Linked DNA regions of Canis lupus familiaris. The protein of the gene in region 1 purifies or fractionates together with the protein of each later gene. This does not show direct contact. Links are inferred from orthologs where the notes say so. Each region holds a gene or a part of one and is shown in the gene's direction. Other genes may lie near its edges.

The links.
Region 2: the proteins of PKN3 (region 1) and ARHGAP26 purify together in Homo sapiens (affinity purification with mass spectrometry; 3 studies listed by BioGRID and IntAct, with this or other methods). This does not show direct contact. The link is inferred for Canis lupus familiaris from reciprocal best matches to the Homo sapiens genes PKN3 and ARHGAP26.

What each region holds. Positions count from the first base shown.
Region 1 is NC_049230.1:54,971,974-54,983,714, reverse strand, and holds the start of PKN3 (serine/threonine-protein kinase N3), read left to right. Parts: upstream 1-5,348; 5' UTR 5,349-5,691; coding exon 5,692-5,706; intron 5,707-6,848; coding exon 6,849-7,089; intron 7,090-7,301; coding exon 7,302-7,447; intron 7,448-7,917; coding exon 7,918-8,029; intron 8,030-8,120; coding exon 8,121-8,248; intron 8,249-8,455; coding exon 8,456-8,639; intron 8,640-9,534; coding exon 9,535-9,681; intron 9,682-9,763; coding exon 9,764-9,873; intron 9,874-9,979; coding exon 9,980-10,123; intron 10,124-10,495; coding exon 10,496-10,571; intron 10,572-10,655; coding exon 10,656-10,824; intron 10,825-11,017; coding exon 11,018-11,120; intron 11,121-11,221; coding exon 11,222-11,289; intron 11,290-11,566; coding exon 11,567-11,630; intron 11,631-11,741.
Region 2 is NC_049223.1:36,771,225-36,783,265, forward strand, and holds the start of ARHGAP26 (rho GTPase-activating protein 26), read left to right. Parts: upstream 1-5,544; 5' UTR 5,545-5,603; coding exon 5,604-5,757; intron 5,758-12,041. UniProt on the Homo sapiens protein: GTPase-activating protein for RHOA and CDC42. Facilitates mitochondrial quality control by promoting Parkin-mediated recruitment of autophagosomes to damaged mitochondria.

The sequences.
Region 1 (11,741 bases):
TCCGGGTGAGATGACGGGCCCTGCTCTACTTAATGCCGTTGTGCATAGGATACCATTTTGGGAAGCTACCTAATGCATAAGCTTTTTAATGCTGTAAATTATAGTAGCTAAAATTAAATGCCACTTAACTTTTTCAGAGATGAATTAATGGACAGCCTGGTCAAATTCAAAGCTTTTTGATGTATAAAACTTTATAAACGGAACTATTCCATCGATAGGCAAAGTGTAATGAAAACCTGTCTAGATGGATAGTATGTAATTTCTGCACAGGTCTTGTTTAGTAATACATCACTGTATACCGGTCAGGAATCTTGCTCCAATAAAGGAACATAAAGATTTTTTTTGACTGGGGTCATTCTCCTTGTTTCCTAGAGACATGTTACTTGCCTTTGGATATAGATAAGGTAGTTTTTCTGTCTGATTTGCATTAGTAGTGACTGGGGAATGGGGGAAACTGCTCTTCAAATCATTCAGTGTAGCAGGGAGAAGTCTATGAAAGGGTAGGTATAAAGATCACAGAAAAGAAACTTCTTTGGAATGTAGTTGGTTCCTGAAGGGATCGAATATTTTCCTATTGAAGTCTCAACATTTAAAGGACTCTTGGCTAGCAAAAATCCTCTGGTTGCTTGAATTTTTTTTTTAAGTTTATCTTTACCTTTTTTTTTTTTTTTTTACTTTATTTATGATAGTCACACACAGAGAGAGAGAGAGGCAGAGACACAGGCAGAGGGAGAAGCAGGCTCCATGCACCGGGAGCCCGACGTGGGATTTGATCCCGGGTCTCCAGGATTGCGCCCTGGGCCAAAGGCAGGCGCTAAACTGCTGCGCCACCCAGGGGTCCGCCAGGTTGCTTGAATTATTACTCATTAAGTAGGCCTGTAATTTTTGTTTCTCAAAGTTACTACTTACTAAATCTGATTTATGGGCTGGTGAGTGAGATCGGAGGACCATCAGTTATAGGTCCTGTTTGTTTTTTTATAAATTTTATTCATGAGAGACACAGAGAGGCAGAGACACAGAGGGAGAGAAGCAGGCTCCATGCATGAAGCCCGATGTGGGACTCGATCCCAGGTCTCCAGGATCATGCCCTGGGCTGAAGGCAGGCATTCAATCGCTGAGCCACCCAGGCGTCCCTAGGTCCTCTTTAATCCATTCTTAAGATGTACATTTACTTTTGAGAAAATGACTCAAATAGCTCTTAAAGATCATTTTCTCTTAACTATTGAGATCACCTTTTAGATTGCCCTGTGCCTGCAAATCGTGCAAAGGAGTGCTGGGCTGTGAGACAGGAAGGTGGCAATGTCAGTGTCCTGGAACTTGCTACAGAGTAGCAAGTGTGCTTTGTACCCAGTTGCAAGAGTTCTCAGGCTGGCCTTTGGGCAGTGTGTTTTGGAAAGTGCCAAATGAATGGCTTAAAGCTCCTTTGGTACAAGGACATTTCAAAAGAAAAGGGCAAATAACGGCTGCTGTAGTTTCTCTGGGAGGAGGGCATCTTCCAAAACTGCCAAACTGCTTATGAGGGAGTAACTACATGAATAGGGGCACAGGGGACAATGTATAGATAATGTATCTATTTGGTAATCTATCCTTAGAGTTAATTTCAAACCTAAAGGAATGTTCTTTTAGACCCATCCCTGCAGTTGAGGTTGTTTCTCCAACATGTTCTGATTTCTAAGACTTAACTGTTCCCTGACCTCTGTGACAGGCCCTGCAGTTTCTCCCAGCTCTGGCTGTACAATGTAGAGTTTTAAATGTCCCCAGAATCTTGCCTGTCTCTGACTGACATGGGCTTTATATCTGGCCTGTTTTCTCACCTGTGTTAGCTGTCTGGCTGCCAACAGGTATGGGTTTTTGACGTGATGGATTTGGGGGGGCCTTCTGGGCTTCAGAGGATTCCTACTCAGTTGTATTTCTGAATTAATTTGGTAGTTTTTACCATTACTGCTTTTCGACAACTAGTCTCAGGGTTTCACTTGGTCCTGAAAACAGGTTTGGCTTTTGACCTTTTTGGTTAGGTTGCTATGAAAAGGCAGAATTGTTATAGAAGGTGAAGACTCAGGATTTCTGAAGAGCAAGACAAGTTCTTTAGGAGATGAATGACGAGCCATTCCAATTGTTTAAAGAGGACACCTTGGGGATCCCTGGATGGCTCAGCAGTTTATTGCCGCCTTCAGCCCAGGGCGTGACCCCGGAGTCCCGGCAACGAGTCCCACGTCAGGCTCCCTGCATGGAGCCCGCTTCTCCCTCTGCCCCTGTCTCTGCTTCTCTCTCTGTGTGTCTCTCATGAATAAATACATAAAATCTTAAAAAAAAAAAAATAAAGAGGACATCTTACATTAGGAAAAAGTACCCCCCCCCACACACACAATCCCAGCATTCCCATTTGAACACGTGGCTGTGTTCATGAAGACTTTAGAAGTTTACTTTTTAATAGGTCCGAGGGAAAAGACTGCAGTTTTGTGGTTAGAACAAGAATAGTGAATGGGGAGTGTGCCAGCTTGATTACTTGGTGATATTGCATACTCCCTACTACCCAAGGGCAGCAAATCTAAACATAGACGGATGTTTGCCATACCAGGAAGGGAAGTATAGAAAGGAAAAAAAAGTGTTTTGTGTTGTTTTTTTTTTTTTTTAATGTGCCCTGCTAGGAAGTTTTATATTTCTTTGAGTTGATATTTATACAGTTTTAGCCGCCAGTTAGCTGGAGAGTTGTTTGCACCATTCACTACCCACTGGATGCTGAATGTGAAGGGAACTTCAATTTTCTTAAGAATTAGCAGTTTCATGAAGTACCATCAGAAAGGATGAAGCTATTTGGTCAGGCTTCTCCATCAGCCTAGGATTTGGTTTCCTTGTGGGTTTGCCCAGCCTGGGGTTCATGGATTCTGCTACTTCTGACTTCCTTTCCTTTGTTGACCAGCGAAGCAGTAGAACACACAGCAAACTTGGAAAATCATTTTGACTTCTTTCACATAATTCAGCTTTCTTGGCTGTAGTAGATAAATGATCCTCAGGATGGGAGAGAGACATTATGCTGAAAAGAGCTTTACTAGCTTGTTTTGTCCTTTCCTTCAGTCCTATGACTAGCAGTCAGAAACATTGTCTTTTTTTGCTCTAAATTATGCTTAAACATTCAACTCAACACAACTTGATGACAACCCTCATTTATTTTTATTATTATTTTTTAAAGATTTGATTTATTCATGAGAGACACACAGAGAGAGGCAGAGATACAGGCCGAGGGAGAAGCAGGCTCCATGCAGGGAGCCCGACGTGAGACTCAATCCCGAGACTCCAGGATCACGCCCTGGATCACGCCCTGGGTTTGGCAGGTGCCAAACCGCTGAGCCACCCAGGGATTCCCCTCAACCCCCATTTAAAAGAGCCTACTATGTGCTGTTATCTAAGCCCTTGGCAACCTGGACATGCCTCTGATTATGAAATTTAGGCATGCCCCCCACTGAACCCAGTTGCTCTTGCATACGTTGGTGTCATCTGCTTGATTTCCCATTGCGGGACAACCCAGGACTGTCATGGCTTGTCAGTATCACCTTTTCCACTCTGGGGAGGGAGGGTGGTCAGAGCAAAGTGCAACTGACATGATTTCCTTCAGTAAAAGTACAGGAAGGCACCTGTTCCGAGTCATCAAATCGGCCACCTTCCATGTTTGATCCCCACTCACCTCCAGACCCTTGGGCCAGGCTCCTTCCAGTGAAGTCCTGGCACAGGGTGCCAGTTAGCACAGGATACCAGAATTCCTATACAGGCAAGCCGCTGCCAGGTCAGTTGGTGCCCACTGGTCGGCTTTCCTGAAATAGTGGTTCTTTCCTACGGTGTGTGTCTTCTGTTTGGGTGGATTCTTGAGGACAAGGGAAGCCCTGGCCGACCCAGAAAGCTCCACTGTGGTTGAGTGGCGGAGCCTGAGATGTTTGGTTTATTCATCCATGGTTTGTAATTTGGGAGGGTTTGGGGGAGGCTTTACTTTCTTTCAGTTGCAGACGTTCTTATAGTAGTGACTCTAGACAGGGACAAGACTCCGTGAGGGTGACGGGTTTGGGATTAACCCACTTGTCACCAAGGATCTAAGACGAGGAGAAGGCTGCGGGCGGGAACCAGGTGGTGGCACGGCTCGGAGGAAGGGGCTGAGCCGGCCCCACGGGCAGTGTCCGGCGGCCGGCAGGCGGCGCTGTCGCCCCCGACCCCTCTGGGCAGCTGGCGAACCCCGGCCCGGGAGGTGTCCCTCCCCGCACTTCTATCCCGGGCCGGGGACTGCGGCCTCAGGACGGACGCGGGGCCCCGGAGCCAGCGGGGCGTCGGCTGGAGCCCTGGGGTCCCGGGCGCAGACCCTGGCGGCCGACAGGCGGCGCTCATCTCGGGGCCCGCGAGCGCCAGCCGGCCTCGGGAGGGGGCGCCCGATCCCGCGGCTCGGGCTCCGCTTCCCGGGAAGTTTCAAGTTTGAAAGTCCTGGCGGAGGGGCCGGGGCTTCCGGAACCGCAGTGGGCGAGAGGAGGGGCCGAGCGGCCGGAGCGGCGCCATGGAGGAGGGGGCGCCGCGGCAGGTGGACGGCGCCCGCGGAGGCCGGGCTGCGGGCGCGGGCCCAGGGCGCCGGGGAGCCTCGTGCACGCCGCGGGCACCCCGAGCCCCGGCCGCGACCCCCAGGTCCGACCCGCATCCCCTCCCGGGTCCCTTCTCAGTCCCGGCCCCGGGCTTCGCTGCACCTCGCAGGGCAGACCTGAGCACGGGGGTGAGTCGTTCATGTCCCCTGAAAACGCCCCCAGATCACCCCCTAGGGACTCAGAGCCTCTGGTCAGGCCAGCAGTCAGGGCCACCAGCATGGGCGCCAAAGTTGCCTAAAATCAGCTCTTCCCGGTAGGACTGGAAGGCCGATGGGAATCGACCTAGAAAGCAAAGGGGGGCGCTGGGGCGCACTGGGGCCGGTCCTGCGTGGAGAGGAATCCGAGTGTGCAGGGAGAAGAGAGCCCAGGAGGGCACCAGTCCCTGGGCTCTTGGGGGGGTGGTCCTACCCGGATCACGAAGGCATGTGGGGTTTGGCCGGGCCGGAGGGCCTTGCCCAGCACCTGGGTGGGAACCTTCGGGTACACAGGGTTCTAGTCCAAATGGCAGGGAGGCTGGGATCCTGCCAGTGCTGGCAGTAGGTGCTGGTGGACACAGCAGCCAAAGCCGTGTGTTTGTTATTGGGGAGGGAGGGGTGGAGGTCTACTCAGAGCGAATGGGGTGGGGTCCCAGCTGTAGAGCAGCAAGGGAGAGGTGTGTATGTCCGCCCAGAGCAGACAGGAGGTGGGGGTATGCTCAAGGGTGGAGTGTCCTCCACAAGGCTCGAGTGCCCCCACCCCAAGGGCCTAGACAGCCCTAAGCACTGCATCTGCCCCCTCCCACTCCCTTCTTCCGGAGGTCCCTCCGCCTGTTCCAGCAGCAGCTTGTGCACATTTTCCGATTTCCTGTGAACCTCCGCCCAGCAGCGCAGCTGGGTGACTCAGGACCCCGGTGGCCAGGCCCCCTGCTCCATGGGATCTTTGTTTGCTCAGGCCTTTGGCTCTGGCCCTCTGGCCTAGGGCCCTCAAAGGATTTCCTGAGCCCCGCCCCTGCCCTCTGACTACCAGGCCAGCAGAGGCCTGGAGTAGGGGGGGGCCCTGAGACTGGGGTGACAACCTTTAACACTGGGCTCAGGAGATGGAGAGCCGAGAGGTAAGGTGGAAGTCCCGCAGGAGCCCTTGGGGTCGGGGGCATTGTGGGTTACTCTGGACAGAGGTCAGCTTTGGCACTGGTTGGTTTGAAATGTTAGCTTCTGAGAAAGAGATTTTTCTGTTTCTTGCTCCCACCTGGGGTGAAATAGTGAGAAAGCCTCTGCTTCCTCCCAGTAGCTGAGCTGGGAATGGCCCCGGGAGACCTCCTCAGCCCCTCTCCGTGTCTCTGCTTGGCTACCTGAGGGAACATCCCTGGCCCCTACTCAGGCCTCTGGCTGCCCTCTCTGTGTGACCTTGGGGGGTTCCCTAGCCTCTTTTCTGGCCTCAAATTTGGCCCCAAATCTCAGAATCGCAGTCTTGGAGAGAGCATCCTGATTAAGCGTGACTGGCAAGGGGGAAGGAAGGTGGCATCCCCTCTTCGGTGTTGTGACTTTGGGCACGTTGCTTAACCTCTCTGTGTCTCAGCTTCCCCATTTGTAAAATGGGGATCATAACTATACCAACCTCATGGGATTGTCGTGAGGATCCACAGACCAGTGTCTGCAAAGTTCTGAGACAGACCCTGAACAACCCAGGGGTCTGGGGCACTGACACACCCCACCTGCCATGAGTTGCAAATCTGCGTATGACTTTTGACTCCCCCAGACCTTAACTACCAGTAGCCTACCGGTGACCAAAAGCCTTACCGATAACATCAACAGTGGACTAACACATACTCTGTACGTTATGTGTATTCTATACTGTGTTCTTACAATAAAAGAAGCTAGAAAAAAGGGAAATGTTATTAAGAACATCATAAGGAAGAGAAAATACATTTACAGCCCTGTACTGTATGATCAAAAACAATTTGCTTATAAGGTGGACCTGTGCAGTTCAAACCCATGTTGTTCAAGAGTTGCCTGTAAATGTTGACAATTTCTCCCTCTCCCTCCTCCCTAGTGGCAGAGGACAGGAGCGTGGGCAGGATGCCTAGTCTTGGGGTTTGCATCTGGCCTGGGGATACTAGCTGGAAAGTCAGAGATGCCTCCCAAGCCCCGGGTGTCCACCCTGGCTGCTGGGCGTGCCTCCCTCTCCTTCCATCTGTGGGCACCTGAGGCCGCTGGTGGCTGGGGACGGGACCATTATTGCTCTGCCCTTCCACAGCCTGGGGCCAACCAGCGGCCCCCGGAGGATGAGAAAGAGGCGATCCGCCGTGCCATCCAGAAGGAGCTGAAAATCAAGGAGGGTGTAGAGAACCTGCGGAGGGTAGCCACAGACCGCCGCCACCTGGGCCATGTGCAGCAGCTCCTGCGCTCCTCCAATCGCCGCCTGGAGCAGCTTCACGGAGAGCTGAGGGCGCTGCATGCACGCATCCTGCTGCCCGGCCCTGGGCCTGGCCAGGCTGGTGAGTGTGGAGTCTGAGCGGACCCTCGGGCCCTCGGGGACAGGAGGTGCTGGGGAGGTCTACCCAGCCAGCTTCTCAACCTTGGTCCTGACCAATCTCATAGCCTTCTCAGGTGTCCCCCTGCCCAGGAGGGGAGGGGAGGAGACAGCAAGGCCATAGAGTAGGGGGCTCCTGGCTCTGGGTAAGGGCTTCATGTACCCCACACTGCACAGAACCTGTGGCCCCGGGACCCCAGCCACCTGCAGAGCAGCCCAGGGCTCGGCACCTGGAGGCTCTCCAGAGACAGCTGCAGGTGGAACTGAAGGTGAAGCAGGGGGCAGAGAATATGACGCATACATATGCCAACGGCACGCCCAAGGTAAGGCTCCCGGGGTCTGTGGGGAGAGATGTGGCTCTCGGATTAGTAGGGGAGGTGCTGCCCCAGCCCCTGTAGGGAATGCAACCTAGCCAACGACCTATTAAGGGAGACATTGTCTCAACTATTAGTCTGATAGAGGAGCCATAGCCCCAAATCTTAGCTTGGTGGGGAAGGCATGGCTTGGACCCCTAATTTAACAGAGAAGGCACAACTCAGTCTAATGGGGAAACCCCAGGCCCTGTTCTGGGTCTAATAGGGAAGGTCCACTCCCAGCCCCAACTCCCAGCATGATGTGGGGAGCTTGGCTCTGACATGATTGGAGAAGTTTGACCCCAGCCCTGTCTCATCTGATGGAGGAGGCTCTGCCCCAGACCTAGGCTGATGAGGGAGGCTTGGCTTCAGCCTTGGTCTGACCAGGGAGGCCCTGGGCTGGCCTGGGTGCGACGAGGGCATACCTCATGACCCCACAGGAGAGGAAGCTCCTGGCAGCTGCCCAGCAGATGCTGCGGGACAGCCAGCTGAAGGTGGCTCTACTGCGAATGAAGATCAGCAGCCTGGAAGCCAGTGGGTCCCCTGAACCAGGTGAGGCTTTGAGAAGCTGGGAGGGGCCGGCCGGCCGGGCCGGGCCGGGCAGAGCAGGGCATGGGCCTCAGAGCTGACTGCCTCCTCCCAGGTCCCGAGCTGCTGGCAGAGGAGCTAAGACATCGGCTGCATATTGAGGCTGCTGTGGCCGAGGGTGCCAAGAACGTGGTGAAGCTACTGGGTGGCCAGCGGACTCAAGACCGGAAGGCCCTGGCCGAGGTCAGACCGTGACGCCCTCTCACCACTGCCCCTCTCTGCGCCCTCCGCACTGCGGGATGGCTGTGCCGGGTGGGAACAGGGAGCCCACTGTGTCTAGACCTCGTGGCGGCCAGGGCGTGTGTGTGTCTCCAGGTGGTCCGAGCTGCTGTCCCCAGCCCCAACCTGTGTGTCACGGGCCTGTGCCCCCTCCCCTTATCTGCCCTGCAGGCCCAGGCCCAGCTCCAGGAGTCCTCCCAGAAACTGGACCTGCTGCGACTGGCCTTGGAGCAGCTGCTGGAGGGACTACCTCCTGCTCATCCTCTGCGTGGCCGGGTGGCCCGGGAGCTGCGGACGGCCGTGTCTGGGAACCCTCAGCCTTCAGGGGTGCTTGTGAAGCCCACCGCCATGACAGGTAGCCAGGAGTCCCTCTCACCTCAGGGCTCCCCTTTTCTTGCAAAGGGTACCCTGAAACACAGAGGGGGAGGACTTTGGAGAGTTTTGATTCTGGTCCCACCACCCTCTAGCTCTGTGAACACGGGCAACAGACTTCCACTCTCTGGACTCAGCTTAATGTTCTGTCAAATGGGGATGATAACAGCACCTACTTTGTAGGGTTGCTGTGAAATTCAGTGAGTTGTCACCTGTGATGTGCTAGGCACAGTGCCGGCATCGTCCAAACGTGGTCGGTGAAGCTGTTATCAAAATGAGAAACCATGATGACAATGTGAAGAGTGCCGGTGTTAGGGGAGCTCACAGCCCTGGAGGCCTTTGGTAACCAGTCCTGGGCAGTCTGGACTACTAGGAAGTTCTTTCTTATCCCTGAGCTGAATTTGTCTGAATTGTAGCTGAATTGTAATCAACAAATAATTTAAGCATGCTGACTTTGGAAACCCTGAACTTCCTACACGGGACACAGTGCCAGCCAGAGAGCCCGGCACCTTCCTGCTCAGAGCTGGTTCAGGGTTGGACGGGCCAGCTCCCATTGTGAGCAGAGCTGAGAAGGAATCAAGGAATGCTTCCTGGAGGAGGTGGTGTCTACATGTAGCCTTGAAGGGCTTCTGGGAGTTGGCCAAGTAGACAAGTTAGGGAAGGCGGGGCGGGGGTATGGCTTGCTAAAAAGGCCTAGAAGTTGTCTGGCTACTTGGGGCCACCTTATATCCTGTCACCTGGCTAAATACCCCAACTAATGTGGGCAAGGTCTGGGTTCAGACATCATTGAGAGAAAGTAGGTTTCCTGCGGTCCCAGGGGACCTGGCTGTGGCAGTGAGAGAATGGCACTGACAGTGTTTCTTGCGTGCTCCCCGCAGGGACACTGGAGGTCCGCCTCCTGGGCTGTGAGCAGCTGCTGAAGGCTGTCCCCGGACGGTCCCCGGCAGCTGCACTGGCCGGGAGCCCCTCCCAGGGCTGGCTCCGGGGCAGGGCCAAGCCTCAGCGTGGAGGAGGAGATCTGGCCAGTGAGTAGGGGCCGCAGGGAGCTGGGGGCAGCAAAGGACCTCCGCTCCTTGCTGGCTCTGAGCCCCCTATCTGGCCTGGCAGGTGAGGTGATGGCTGTGCTGAAAGTGGACAATCGTGGCGTGGGCCAGACTGGCTGGGCGCCGGTGGCCAAGCAGTCCTGGGACCAGATGTTTATTGTCCCCCTGGAGCGGGTGAGCCCTGGGGTGGGCAGGCATGACCTTAGGCCAGGGGGCGGAAGGCCGGCCAGGTAGGGGCATGTGCCATGCCCCACTCCTCAACCTGGCCCTCCCAACGTAGGCCCGGGAGCTGGAGATCGGGGTGCGCTGGCGGGACTGGCGGCAGCTGTGTGGCGTGGCCTTCCTGCGGCTGGAGGACTTCCTGGACAATGCCTGTCACCAGCTCTCCATCAGTCTGGTGCCACAGGGGCTGCTCTTTGCCCAGGTGCCCCAGACCCTGCCCTCTGACCTGACAGGCCCCAGCTCCGTCGGAGTTAGAAGGGCCTTCAAAACAATGTGACTCATCCATCCACACGTAGGAGTGGAAACTGGGGCCCCGAGGGAGCAGGGCTCCAGGACTATGGGTTCCCAGCCCTTGTCTGGGGACTGCATGGGAATCTAGAGGCCCACATCTTGGTCCAGACTATCTGGCCTCATTTGTGACCCTGGACAAGTGCCTCTCTTCTCTGGACCCCTCTGGCTCTTGCATCATTGATGCTGGGGGCTCAGGCCGAGATCCTGGGAACCAGGGAGGTACCCTGATGGCAGGTGGGATGGGAAGGGACCTGTCTCCAGCCCTGCCCTCTGCCCCCTGCAGGTGACCTTCTGTGACCCTGTCATTGAGAGGAGGCCCCGGCTACAGAGGCAGAAACGCATTTTCTCTAAACGCAGAGGTGTGGCCAGGAGACAGCTTTGCAGTTAGGGGGCAGGGCAGGGGCTATTGGGGGCCCCAGGACTGAGTCCTCCTTTTGTCCCAGGTCAGGACTTTCTGAGAGCTTCCCAGATGAATCTCAGCATGGCGGCCTGGGGACGCTTGGTCATGAGCCTGCTGCCCCCCTGCAGCTCCCCAAGCACAATCAGCCCCCCCAAAGCATGTCCCCAGACTCCAGCCACACCCCGGGGAGCTGCCGAGCCTGCCTCGCCCAGGTGAGGAGCCACCCCGCCTCAGCCGCCCTCTTCTCTGCCACATCTGCCTCTCTCCAGGTGCAATTGGTGTTGTTCTGTTCCCGTCATTCACCCTCTGATCCTCCATCTGTCTGTCTCTGGCATCGCCGTGTGTTTGTCCCTATGGCTATTCCATCTGCCTGTGCCCTGCCATGTGTCTACTTTCTCCACATAGTAATGTCCCACCCAAGAAGAGCCCCTTGGGAGAAGAGATGAGGCCCCCGCCCAAGCCCCCACGCCTCTACCTGCCCCGGGAGCCAACCTCCGAGGAGATACCGGTGAGGGGGTGCTGAGGCCCGGGGGCTGCCCGGATAAGGGTGGCAGGGCTGGTGGGACAGAAGGAAGCCCTGCTCTGCTCTGAGCCCCTCTGCCCTCACAGCGCACCAAACGCCCCCACATGGAGCCCAGGACGCAACTTGGGTCGTCTCCTCCAGCCTCAGCCGCCAGGTACCCCCGGCAGGCCCACTTTTATGCTTGAGACATCTATCTACTCACTTGGGTGTTTGTGTGTCCATTCAGACATCATCTGATATTCCTTGCTCTCAGATTCTTACTCACTAAACCCACATTATTGAGCTCCAGCTGCTTTCCAGACTCTAGGAAACCACTGTCCCAGGAACCCCCACCCCCATCCCCAGGCTTTGCAGCCTCATTGGTGGGGACAGCCCGGGGCTGGGCACAGAGAGTTTGGAGCATCTCTTGTCTTCCTATGCCTCTCTTGCAGGAAACCCCCCCGGCTTCAGGACTTCCGCTGCTTGGCCGTGCTGGGCCGGGGACACTTTGGGAAGGTAGTGGGCTGAGGTGGGGAACTGTGTGGGGGGGTGAGGAGGCCCCAGCACCTTAGCTGGGAGGATGCTGTGATCCATGGGGTAGTGGGGTGGGGGAAGCTGCCCTGTGCT
Region 2 (12,041 bases), on another chromosome or scaffold:
GGCCCACCCAATAGATTTCTAGTTATAGCTTAATGGCCAGAAAAATGCCACATGGCCAGCAGTAGCTGTATAGAAATCTGAGGAACTGAATTCTTTTTTTTAAAATTTTTATTTATTTATGATAGTCACACAGAGAGAGAAAGAGTGAGAGAGGCAGAGACACAGGCAGAGGGAGAGGGAGAAGCAGGCTCCATACACCGGGAGCCCCACGTGGGATTTGATCCCGGGTCTCCAGGATGGCGCCCTGGGCCAAAGGCGGGCGCCAAACCGCTGTGCCACCCAGGGATCCCAGAACTGAATTCTTTAGCTGCGCACTTGGGGTTCTATTAGTAACATAGCCTAAGTCTGGAATTAGGCTAGTCTGGGGTTAGAATCTCAGCTCTAAAAAAAAAAAAAAAAAAAAAGAATCTCAGCTCTGCTGCTCAGTGATTATGACTTTAGGTTTGTCATTTTCAGTTTCCTCACTATAAAATGGAGATAAGATGATAATGGGGTTCTGAAGACATTAATTGAACTATTTTTTGTAAAATGTTTAGGAGAGTATCTGGTATGCAGTAAATGATATATGTAGGTACTTTCTCAACAAATGAGTAAGGAAAGGACATTAAATTAAAAAGTAGCAGGGATGAAAAATGTGGATAACATATAAAACAGACCTGTATACTACAAGTAATATGAATTTCATTAATTTCTTGAGCCAAGGAATGTTAATTAAGTGCTGCCACCTCCCCCACAGGACCACAAACCATTGGATTTGGAGGGATAGATTACTCTTTCTTCTTTCAAGGAAAATGAGGATTTCATGTCTTTCAGTCAGTTGCTTTTACACTAATGGTAGGGCGTTGGATTTATTTATTTATTTATTTATTATTTATTATTTATTATTATTATTATTACTTTAGGGCATTGGATTTAAAGCCAAAACTTATTAGAGGCTTGTATAGTTACTGATACATTGGGGGCATACCAGCAAATGGTCCTGGAAAAAAAACATACATTTCAGGGTGAGATACCTCCTCTTTCATTCATGGGTTATCTTTTTTTTTTTTAATAAAATTTATTTATTCATGAGAGACACAGAGAGAGAGGCAGAGACATAGGCAGAAGGATAAGCAGGCTCCTCACAGAAACACCAATGTGGGACTTGATCCCAGGACTCTGGGATCACGACCAAGCTGAAGGCAGATGCTCAACCACTGAGCCACCCCGGCATCCCCATTCATGGGTGATCTTATTCCAATTTTAGGCTTGGCTATTATTATTAATTTTTTAGATATATAAAATCTCTTTCTTATAGATATCGTATAGGCAGATAGTTATTTAAGACAAATAGATTTGAATTCTTAGCTCAATTCTACTGCTAACCTTAGGCACCTTACTTCTCTAATCCTTAGTTACTTTATCCGCAAAATAGGGATGGTAACAGTACCTATTTCCCAAATTTTAGTAAAGGCTGGAAATGTAATAAAGAACTTAGCACAGATCCTACTACAGAGATAAAGCTCAATAAATATCATTACTATCACTACCATCATTATTACTTCTTAAAAGCAACTTTATTGAGCTGTAACTTAGACACAATAAGATGCACCCATAAATTTTGACTAATTTTGAAACCTGTGTAACCATCACCACGATTGTGATATAGAATATATTTACAACATCATCCCCAAATTGTCATTTTAAAAATGGAAAACGGATGCCTTATCCAGTAATAATACAAAGGTGAAGTCACTGTGTAAAGCATCATATGGTATTGACTATAAAAAAGAAAGAGTATGTGCTAACTAGAATTACAAAACCATGGAAATATAGCAGAAGGAGCATTCATTTTGAGGGCGTTGGGGAACTAACTGGTCAGACATACTGTTTATTATTGCTTCTGCCTATTTAATTTAGCATTAATTCCCTCTTTTCCTGTCAACAGGAGTTTGTCCTTTGGGGGAAACAACTCCTCCCCAGTGCTTGATGTTTTAGGAGCAGGGCTATTTAACCTCTGGCTTCAGTCTTGTAATTTCTGCTGTAATTCTTGGGGAGAAAACACCTCTGTTACTGCTAATATTGCTGGATATAAGTTTGGAGGAGCAGAGAGCACCATAGAGGAAGGTCAGCTTGTGGGGCGGAGAGAGAAATCTGGTGCTCACATCATCATCCAAGTCTCCTGAGGCTACATCTATTTCTGGTCCTTAGTTACATGAGGGCCTAAGAACCTTCATCATGGACCAGCCCTGTTCTTCAGTTTGTGTTCAGGAACCATGCTCACCTCTGCGTATGTGGGTCAGAGATAGCATTATGAGAAATGAGAATGCTTTCCAGTTTTCTACAAATGGAAGGTCATTGTGTGGCAGATGTAAAATTAACTGGACAACTGAAGTCAGAGATAATACGGATTTACAATGTATATAGTATTACTGAAAGTAGAACTATTTAGATTTAGTGTTTGACTAATTTGAAGGAATTGAGACATATTCCAAGGATATTGGGTCAAATTATTTGGCCTAAATTATTTCTCTATTTTGTTTGAAAGTGATTTTTGTTTTATCTGCATTCATAGCTATGTTGTCACATGAGTTGCTGTTTCTTCCTTATTAAACTTGAGTCCCTCCTGTTGGCATTGTGCACCTCTTAAGTACCTGTTGCTGTTCTAAGAGCTGGGGCTGTAGCAGCAGACAACACAAAACCTCTACCTCATGGAGTTTATTTTCGAGGATGTGAGAGATAACTGCACCTTCCATGTGCCAGTTTCTGTCCTTGATACTACTGCATTCGGATTCTCTTTTTCTGATAGTATTGCCTGAAGTGTGGGAAGTGTTTATGGAAATTCTGGGTTAAATTAATAAGAAATGAAATGTTATCCACACATATTTGTAAATGGGCATATATGTATGTATCGCACACACTTCTTAGCTAAGTAACCTGGCTTAAGTTCCAATTATGGGCCTCAATTTCTCATTTGAAAAGTGGGTATTATCATGGTACCAATATTACCTGGCAGGGATTAAATGCATGTAAATAATTTAGCTCTACTTTATGTCTGGCACAGATGATAGCCAATGTTATTATTAATACATTTATTTTACTTTATACACAATTGCCCCAATATTCCTGCAATGGAAGAATATGAATCATTGTGCCCCCACACCCCCAGTTTGTTTCATTCATTTAACACTGATTGAGTATCATGTGCCAGGCCCACTGTTTTTTTAGTTTTTTCCAGACATGGCTGCAACAGTATCTCCCGTTCTTGTCACTTCCCCACCTAGAGGTACAGTCTAATTCCCTTCTCTTTGCATCTGCGTGGGATTGTGACTTGCTTGTAGCTAATGAAGAAATTAGCTAGAAATTTGTGACTTCTAAGGTTAGGCCATAAGAGGTGGTACAGCTTTTGCCTTGTGAGATGGGGCATTCACAGTAGAATCCTGAAGCTGCCATGCAAGGAGGAAGCCCAAAGTAGGGCACACAGCAGAGAAGCCTTGGGCCCACCCAAGAAGAGGGAGATGCTCAGCTAACCACCCCTGCTCCAGCACCTGTCACTGTCTGACTGGAACACAGGAGAGACTCCTAAGCTGGAACTACCGAGTTAAGCTCTTCCACAGAGACCAGGAGAGAATATAAAAAGATTGTTGTTGTTTTAGAATATTAAGTTTTGGTGTGATTTGTTATGTATCAATAGAGAACCTACCTTTTAAGTGCTCAAGATATGGTATTAAGCAGATCTTTCTCATTCTTGGCAACTGAGGAGCAACTATTTTCAGGATTTTAATTATCTGTCCCACAGCTGTTCGGGCCTGCTCTCAAGTCTAAATTTGTAGATACAGCAGCAAACAGATCATACTCACTCATTCATTTATGTATTCAATAAACCAGGCAATTGATTTCTCAACGTAGATGCCTCTTCTGGCCCCAGAGTTGGCAACCTTTTCCCCATGTTTTTAAGCACCCAGGCCTTCTCCTGTCTCACCAGGCAGCCCTAATGCTCTTCTCCTGTCTCTCCCATCCACTAGCAGCAATTAAGTCCATTCTGTGCTATTCATCTTAGTATGGGTAGCATCTAGTTTAATGCCTGCACATAGCAGATCTATTAAAAAAAAAAAAAAAAAGAACAAACCAAAACCAAAAACAAACAAAAAACCCTTAACTGAAAGCTCCTAGCTCCTGGACACACAAAAATTTATTTCAGGGACAGTCCCTATGCTCTAGGAGTTCCCAATTTAGCACTAGATACTGTGGGATCCAGCCTGACCAGTGCAGTTAAGTGAGCTGCCTGAATGAATTCCAGTAGTGGAACAGAGGGAGGACAGGGCAGCGCACTGGGGGTGGGAGGTGGGGAAAGATTTAATTTAGTCCACATTTGTCAGTCACCGGAGCACGAATGGCACATGTAGCACACGGTAAGCTCTCAGTATCCGTTACCGTATGCAAGCCACTGGCCTAGGTAGCAGGAATGCAGCAGCGCACAAGAAAACTGCAGTGGTCTGTGCCCTCGTGAAGCTCACAGGGTATCAAAGGACGACAGGCAGGAGGTAATTATGTAAAATTGTGCTAGATGCCCAACAGGAAAACAACAGGCAGCTGAAATTCTCGTAAGGATGTTAGAGCCTTTGGCCGGGGAGCATCCGTGGGCGGGTTTTGAGCAGGAGTGGCCATGAGGGGCGGGAAGATTGCGGGCAAGAAGAACTGGTAATTTAAAAATACAAACATTTTCTGCTTGGCTGGAATACGGAGCGGGTGAAAAGGGTGGACATGGTGGTTCGCTGCGCTCGAGGTTCTCCCGGGCTCGGGAGCTGCATCTCGAGTGAAAGCTCGATTGCCCAGCCCTGCAGGGCGGGTTCAGGGGGAACTGCAGCCCCGTTTCATGCTAGGCACATTGAGGGTCCTCCGCTTCCCAGACCTGCGGAAGCAGCACCTCGGGTTCGGGTCCCGGCCGCAGCAGGTCCGCAAGACCCGGAGTGGGGAGCGTCGGCGCCTCGCAGCGATCACCCCTCCCGCACGGGGTCTGCAACACCGCGCGGGCGGGAGGGGGCGGAGCCTGTGTTGCGGACCTGGGCGGTGGCGTGGGCCCGCCCCCCGGCCCAGGCCCCGCCTCCGCACCCCGCTGATTGGGTCAAGGCCGCGGAAGGGCCGGCTGTCCCCGGGAGGCAGGGGGGTCGGGCTGAGGCGGGCGTGCTGATTGGTCCGCCTGGGATTAGGTCATCGCTAGCAGGTTCGAGCGGCCCGGACGCCGGCGGGGCGGCCGAGGCTGCTGTGAGAGGGCGCTCGAGGCCGCTGGCGAGCGATCGGGCGAAGGAGGCGGGGAGGCGGCCGCCGCGCTCGCCCGCCTGCTCGCTCGCTTCCCGGCGCCGCCGCGGGTCGGTGGCCGCGCTTCCTGCCCGCCAGCCGCTCCGTGGCGCGCCGCCGGAGCAGCCGCCCCTCGGCCGGGACCCCGCGCGGGTCGGCAGCCGTGCGCGCCGGCGGACACCGCGCGGAGGGCGAGCCGGGGCCACACCTGTGGAGCCGGCGGGCGTCGGGGGTCCCGGCCGCGGTCCCGCCGCGTGCGTGCTCGGGGCTGCGGGCCTCCCGGGCGCTGGGGCAGGCGCGCCCCCCGGCTGGGCGACGCGGGCGCGATGGGGCTCCCCGCGCTGGAATTCAGCGACTGCTGCCTCGACAGCCCGCACTTCCGAGAGACGCTCAAGTCGCACGAAGCGGAGCTGGACAAGACCAACAAATTCATCAAGGAGCTCATCAAGGACGGGAAGTCCCTCATCGGCGCGCTCAAGAGTGAGTGTCCCGAGCCCGGCGGGGACGCGACCCTGAGGCGGGAGGGCCGTCGGGCGGCCGGGGTCCCGGGCGACGGCCGTGCACGCTGCCGGCGGGCGCGCCGGGGCCGGGCGGGGGCGAGCGAGCAGCGGTCGCCGAGGCGGGCGCCCCGGAGCCCCCCGTTGGCGTTCGGGGCTGGCGGGCGGGGGCCGAGGGCGGGCGGCGCTCCGGGGCCCCGCGGCTGGCTGTGCGCGGCGCACAGGTGTCCCGGGAGTGGGACGCCCGTGCCTGGCGCGCCGCGCACCGCGTTGGGAAGCCCCCTCGCGCCCGCCGCTCCGGCTCGGCTCCCTTGGGGAACGCTTGCTCACCCCGGGGTGCTCGGCCGGGGAAGCGGAACGTGCCCCGGCGGAGGGCGGCTGGGGACCGCCCCGCTCCGTGCGCGCCGGGCTGCCGGGGCCGCCGGGTTCTGCGAAAGGCGCGGGCGCTGCCAGGAAAGGGCCGGGCGCCGCGGCTGGGAGCTCGCGCTTCTGGGGAGCGATCGCGGCCAGTGACCCCGGGCGGTGAACGCGTGCAGGTTCTGATTCTTGTGCTCAGCAGAAGGTGACAGGGGTGGGAGGACAGCATCAGAGTGTTCCTTTACTCTAAACTGTGGGCGGGGGTTTAAAAATAGAACGAACATATCCTGACTCTCTCCCGCTCCCTCGCTCTCTCTCTCTCTCTCTCTCTCTCTTTTTTTTTTTTTTTTAAGCCTCTCCCTTTATCCTTGAAAACTCAAAGGTTTTGAGGGAATGTCCTCCGGCCTCACTCGGAGAGCTGAAGTTAAAACTCGTCCTTAAGGATTCCGGAGCCCTTCGTAAAACCCATTTTTTACTTATTTCCTCTTGGTAGGGGAGAAATGAGATTTGCATTCTGTGTATGGTTTTTCCCTTGACCTTTGCAGAGCCAGAGAGTTTCTCCCGGCCAAACGAAAGTGTTCTAGGGATGAGCTCCTTGGATCGTGAGGTCGATCTTGGTGCTTTTTCAATCTCCCCCCTTTAAAAATAGCTCCGTCCATCTTTTAGTTTTTTGAGTCAGGAATAACATGAAGGAAGATAGTGGAACTGTCTTTGACTTTACTTTCCCGTCTGTGGGATGGATTTCTTCATAGGTGCTACCTTTCAGCTAGGCCAGGTTGCATTGGCTGAGTGGAGTGCTATCTCTGAAAATTGTTCCCAGGCCTCTTGAAAGGGGATTTCTGGAAGTCAATTGCCTGAGATGTCATTTTGTGATCCTGTTGCTTCTAAAAATGTAGGGGGAGATAATGGAACCCCGGGACAGCAATTGCCAATCTTTTGGGGTGAAATAAACATAAAATTGTGGTGTGATGAGGTTCCTCAGAGGCAGGGTCTCTGATGATCTGAGGCCTACCAATAACTCTTCCTTTCCCACTGACCATCTTTGATTCAGGAAACACTCCACCCCTGGTTTGGAGAAAGTTAGGAGCCCACTCATAGACTGGGCCCACGAGTTTTGATTCAGTCTCATTCTGGCTTTAATTGGCCTTCTGCTTTATTCAGCAAACATATGGAGTGCCTGCTGTGTGTAGGTACTGCTGCCCTGGGTCCTGATGATGTAGCAGTGATTATTGTGTTGCCCCTTTGGCAACAGAGACTGACTCCTTGCCGGTGAATTATCTCATGTTATTCATTTTACACACAGGCTTGATGAAGTCACTAGTCCAGAGCCACACAGCTCCAGCAGTGGGACCTAATCTTGCACCCCTGCATGGTCTGAGCCAGAGTCGGAGTTCCTGCTAACACAGAGCTCTTAATCCTCTCTCATCCTGCTTACCCAGAGTGGACCCCCTGGACCAAGCCTGCTAGAATTTGGAACTGCATTTGTATATCTGTCTTGAGTATGAGTAGGGTACATTTGTGTGACTGGGAATTTATTTGCCTGCTACTATTTTTTTTTTTTTTTTTTTTTTTTGGATAGGGCTAAGAATTCCTTGGGTGGGGGGAAATAATGCAGTGATAGGGCTTAAGAATTATTTAAGTTGTCTAATGGAATGGAGCAGCCCTGTAACTTGGGGGAAAGATTAGTAAGGAACTAAATGTTCTAATCTGTTTATATCTAGTTGTATGTATTAACAATACTCTGACAGCTACTATTACCTGAGTAGATCATGTGTGACCTCTTCAGTGGAAAGAGTGGAGTTGATCACTCTTTCCCAGATTTCAGGCATTCCATTATCATTAGGTGCTTGCTACAGTGTGTATTACTGTCTTAGTATTTGTGTATTATTTTTCTTCTGTTCATCCTTTTCATTACTGAAAATGTAAAGCCAGTGTTTTTAAAACTAATTACACGAAATAAATACATAATTATGTAAAATACCCTGGTTTAGATAATTTACAGTCTCTTTGAGCTATAAAATTTTATGGCTTTATTTTATAATTAGTATTCATAGACCTTTGGGTTTAGATTTCCTCCGTGTGATAATCTGAGGCAGTAAAACTAGCCTTTTGGGATTACCAAAGTTCACCTTGATCATTGTTATTATTGCTTTCATTTTGTGCTTGAAGAAACTGAAGATCGATCAGAGAGGTCAGTAACCTGCTTAAAGTAACAAAGTGGTTAAGTATATTTGAACCAGAGCTATCTGATTCCAAAGCCTATGCACTTAAACTTGAAGCAAAACTATTGTCTAGGTCAGTTGTCTCTTGAGTCCCCTTGAGAATCTGATAAATAACCCCCTATGAAGTTTTACCTTGGAAGCCCAAGCCTCTGGTCTGGATACATAGAAGATAAATGATAAAAGATTTGCAACCTACGTTGGTAACGCTGTCAGTTTTCTCTTTCCTGATTTGTTCAGGTCTTTTCTGTGGCTGTCATATGCCCAGAACTCATTCCTTGCCCTGGTGATTCAGTGTTTCATTCGGGAGGATTTTGTGTGTTCAAGACTTTCTGTTTTTCTGTAGAGATGATAGAAGTTGGAGATGAAGTTCAGACTTGTAGAATTAAGTTTTAACATTTCCTGGGTTTGAATCTTAAACCCACCACTTACTGGTAGACTTAGGACAAGTCACTGAGCCTGAGTCCCTCCAGGTAGTAGCCACCCTGACTTTCTAGTGTTGTGAGGACTTAATGAATCAGTCCTTGTAAAGAAAACACTTAGCTTGGAGCCTGGTGCATAGCACTACTCACTTGTTGGTAGCTATAATCATCTGCCAGCTTTCAAGGTTGTCAAGACTCAGAGCAAAAGTAAGAGCAGAGGTACAGTTTTTGGTTTGGGTGCAGGGAGTTAGGCTTATGCCTTCTTCGTAATTTACACAGTTGTGTATGTGTTAACCTCTGGTGGGAAGAATCCTGGTAATCCTATTTGTATAATGTTATGCCAAAAAAAGTTCCACAAGTTAAAAAAAAAAAAAAAGAAAAAAGAGTAAGTTTCCCAACATACTTTCTATTCCAAATAACGTTTTGGTAACTTGAATTTTCAGTCTTCTTGCTAGATTAACATGCCCCCTCAGTGGCTAGGCTGGGTGCGTCTTGACTCTCCTGCCTTGCAGGAATGGACTTTATGGCTGGTCTCATGGACCCAGTGACAAACCAAATGTGGGTTCATAGAAATGAAAGTGAATTAGGCCGTTGGTTTTGAGGGGTGGTATGGGTTTTCAGGAACTGTTTCTTTCCATCTTGAGAGTTGGCTTTTGGACTTGTTGCTGTAAATTTGGCTTCTGCTTTCTCAGATAGAATGAATACCCTTATTCTGATAGTCTAAGGTAGGGCAAAAATGCAAAATTTAAAAATATCAACTCTTTAAAGGTATAATTCACCCTACCATATAGTTCACCCACTTAGAGAATCCAATTCAGAGGTTTTTAGTACATTCGCAGAATTGTACAGTCATCCCTACAGTCAATCTTAGAACATTTCCATCACCCCAAAAGAAATCTGATTCCCATTGGGCATCAATCATTCTCCATTTTCTCCCAGCTCCTCCCTACCTCTGTCCCCAGCCCTTGTCAATCACTGATGTATTTTCAGGCAATAAATATGCCTATTCCAAACATCACAGGTACAATTTTAATAGTTTCCTCCTGGGTGGTGGTGACCAACTTTAGGTACAGAGTTTTTCATTGGAATTTCAGGTGGGGGAACTTTGAATCTATAAGCTGCTCTTCAGGGGGGTTTATGTAGGGGTGAGATCCCAAAGATGGAACCATGTCCTGGAGCTGGGAGAAACCTGGGTATTTTGTGTTTCAAACCCATGAGTGGGGAGTAGATTAGTTTTAGTCCATGGTACTGTGGATGGATACAGAGGAGACCAAGATAAAACTAAGAATCTAGCCCCTTTCCTCTCTGACCTTTCAGTCAAGTTGGGCAAGTTGTGTGATATCCCATAAAGCCCTGACTCTGGGGTTTTATCCTGTTGGGTGACACACCCCCCCCCCCCCCCCCCAAAAAAAAATGAGGTCAGTGTATTTATATTTCTGTAGTTGAGCCTTAGTATTCATGAGACTTTTTGGAGATGATGTGCTTTTGGTTATTGAGCACTTACCAAGTATCTGGCCCTATGCTAAGTGTCTACATTGTCTCATTAGTCCTTACTGCTGTCCTGTGAGATGAATACTCTTATTTTTCTGTGTTTTGGAGTTGGATAACTTTTCTAAGGTCCAAAGCTAAGAAGTTGTGTAGGTTTTGAACCTGGCAATAGACTTGAGGGCTTTCTCTTGAACATGAACCTTTTTTACCTTCAGTTATCATAGTGGTACTGAAGATGCAAATTCTTCATGGATCTAAGCCCTAAAAAGGAGAAGCATGCAGCAGGTGCTAGATTAAGTGAAAATATTATTCTAGTGGTTTTTCAGAACTTGAGACCTGGGTGGCAAAGAATAGCTCGTGTTTTGTATTGTACTTTGGAGTTTTGTGTTTCTCTCCATCATAGGATTAAAGAACAAAAAAATGAGGGTGTTTGACTATCTCTTGCCTTTTATAACAATAGAGTTTTTCTTTGGGAAGTGCTGAGTGATTATCAGTGATTTAAAAAAAAATTAAAATATGTGTACTTTTATAGCATCGCTTTCTTTTTTTAATTAAAAAATTTAAGTTGAGGTATAATTGACATATAACTTTATATTAGTTTCTGGTGATTCTGTATTTGTATATGTTGTAAGAGATCACCACCATACATCTAGTTAACATGTGACCCCATACAGTTAGAATTTTTTTTTTTCTTGTGGTGAGAACTTTTAAGAGCTACTCTCAGCAAATTTTAAACGTATGCTATGTTATTATTAACTATCATCAATATGCTGTACAATACTTTCCATGACTTATTTATTTTAAAACTGGAAGTGATTCTTTTTTAGCTGGGTAATAAACCATCAAACAGGAAGGCCAGAAACCTATTCCCCGGTCTGATCTGCTAAGATAAATGACTTATCCTCTTTGCTCAATAAAACGAGCAAATAAATAAATAAATAAATAAAAGAAAAAGAAAAAAAAATCAACATCAAGAGTTGCATGCTTTATTATTTTTTTTATTTTTTGAATTTATTATTTTATGTAAGAGTTGCATGCTTGAAATCATGTCACACTTTTGTAGTTCTTAGGATTTGGCATAGGCTTTTTGCATTAGTAAGATGAGCCCTTCATTCAAATGGTCTCCCAAAGGATGTTCATTGTCAGCCAGCTTTGTTTAGGAGTAATGATATTACTTACAAAATCCTAATATAGGGCAAATGGGTATGGAATTGGGTAACAAAGAAGGTTTTCCCAGTTTCTTTGCTTTGCATTATTAGCACCTTACAGATAAAAGAGGAAAAAAAAGACATTTCCTAATCATTTGTAAATGGTGGTAATTTGTGATACTGACATTTGGAATATTACTCATGCAAATATAAATAATAGTAAATAATATCCAAATAAGATATTGTAGTTTTTATATAACATTGACTTTATTTTTTTATTTTTTTAAAGATTTTATTTATTTATTCATGAGAGAGTGAGAGAGGCAGAGACACAGGCAGAGGGAGAAGCAGGCTCCATGCAGGTAGCCCGATGTGGGACTGGATCCCGGGTCGACAGGATCACGCCCCGGGCCAAAGGCGGGCGCCAAACCACGGAGCCACCCAGGGGTCCCCTATATAACATTGACTTTAAAAAAAGTTCCTCGTGCTCACTTCGGCAGCACATATACTAAAAAAAGAAAAAGTTCCTCTACTTTAATCCATTCTGTTCTAGGGTTGAATCAATTACATCTAATCTATAGTTCTCAATTTACTGACAGAGGTTTAAGGTTCTTAAATTAATAGACTATATTA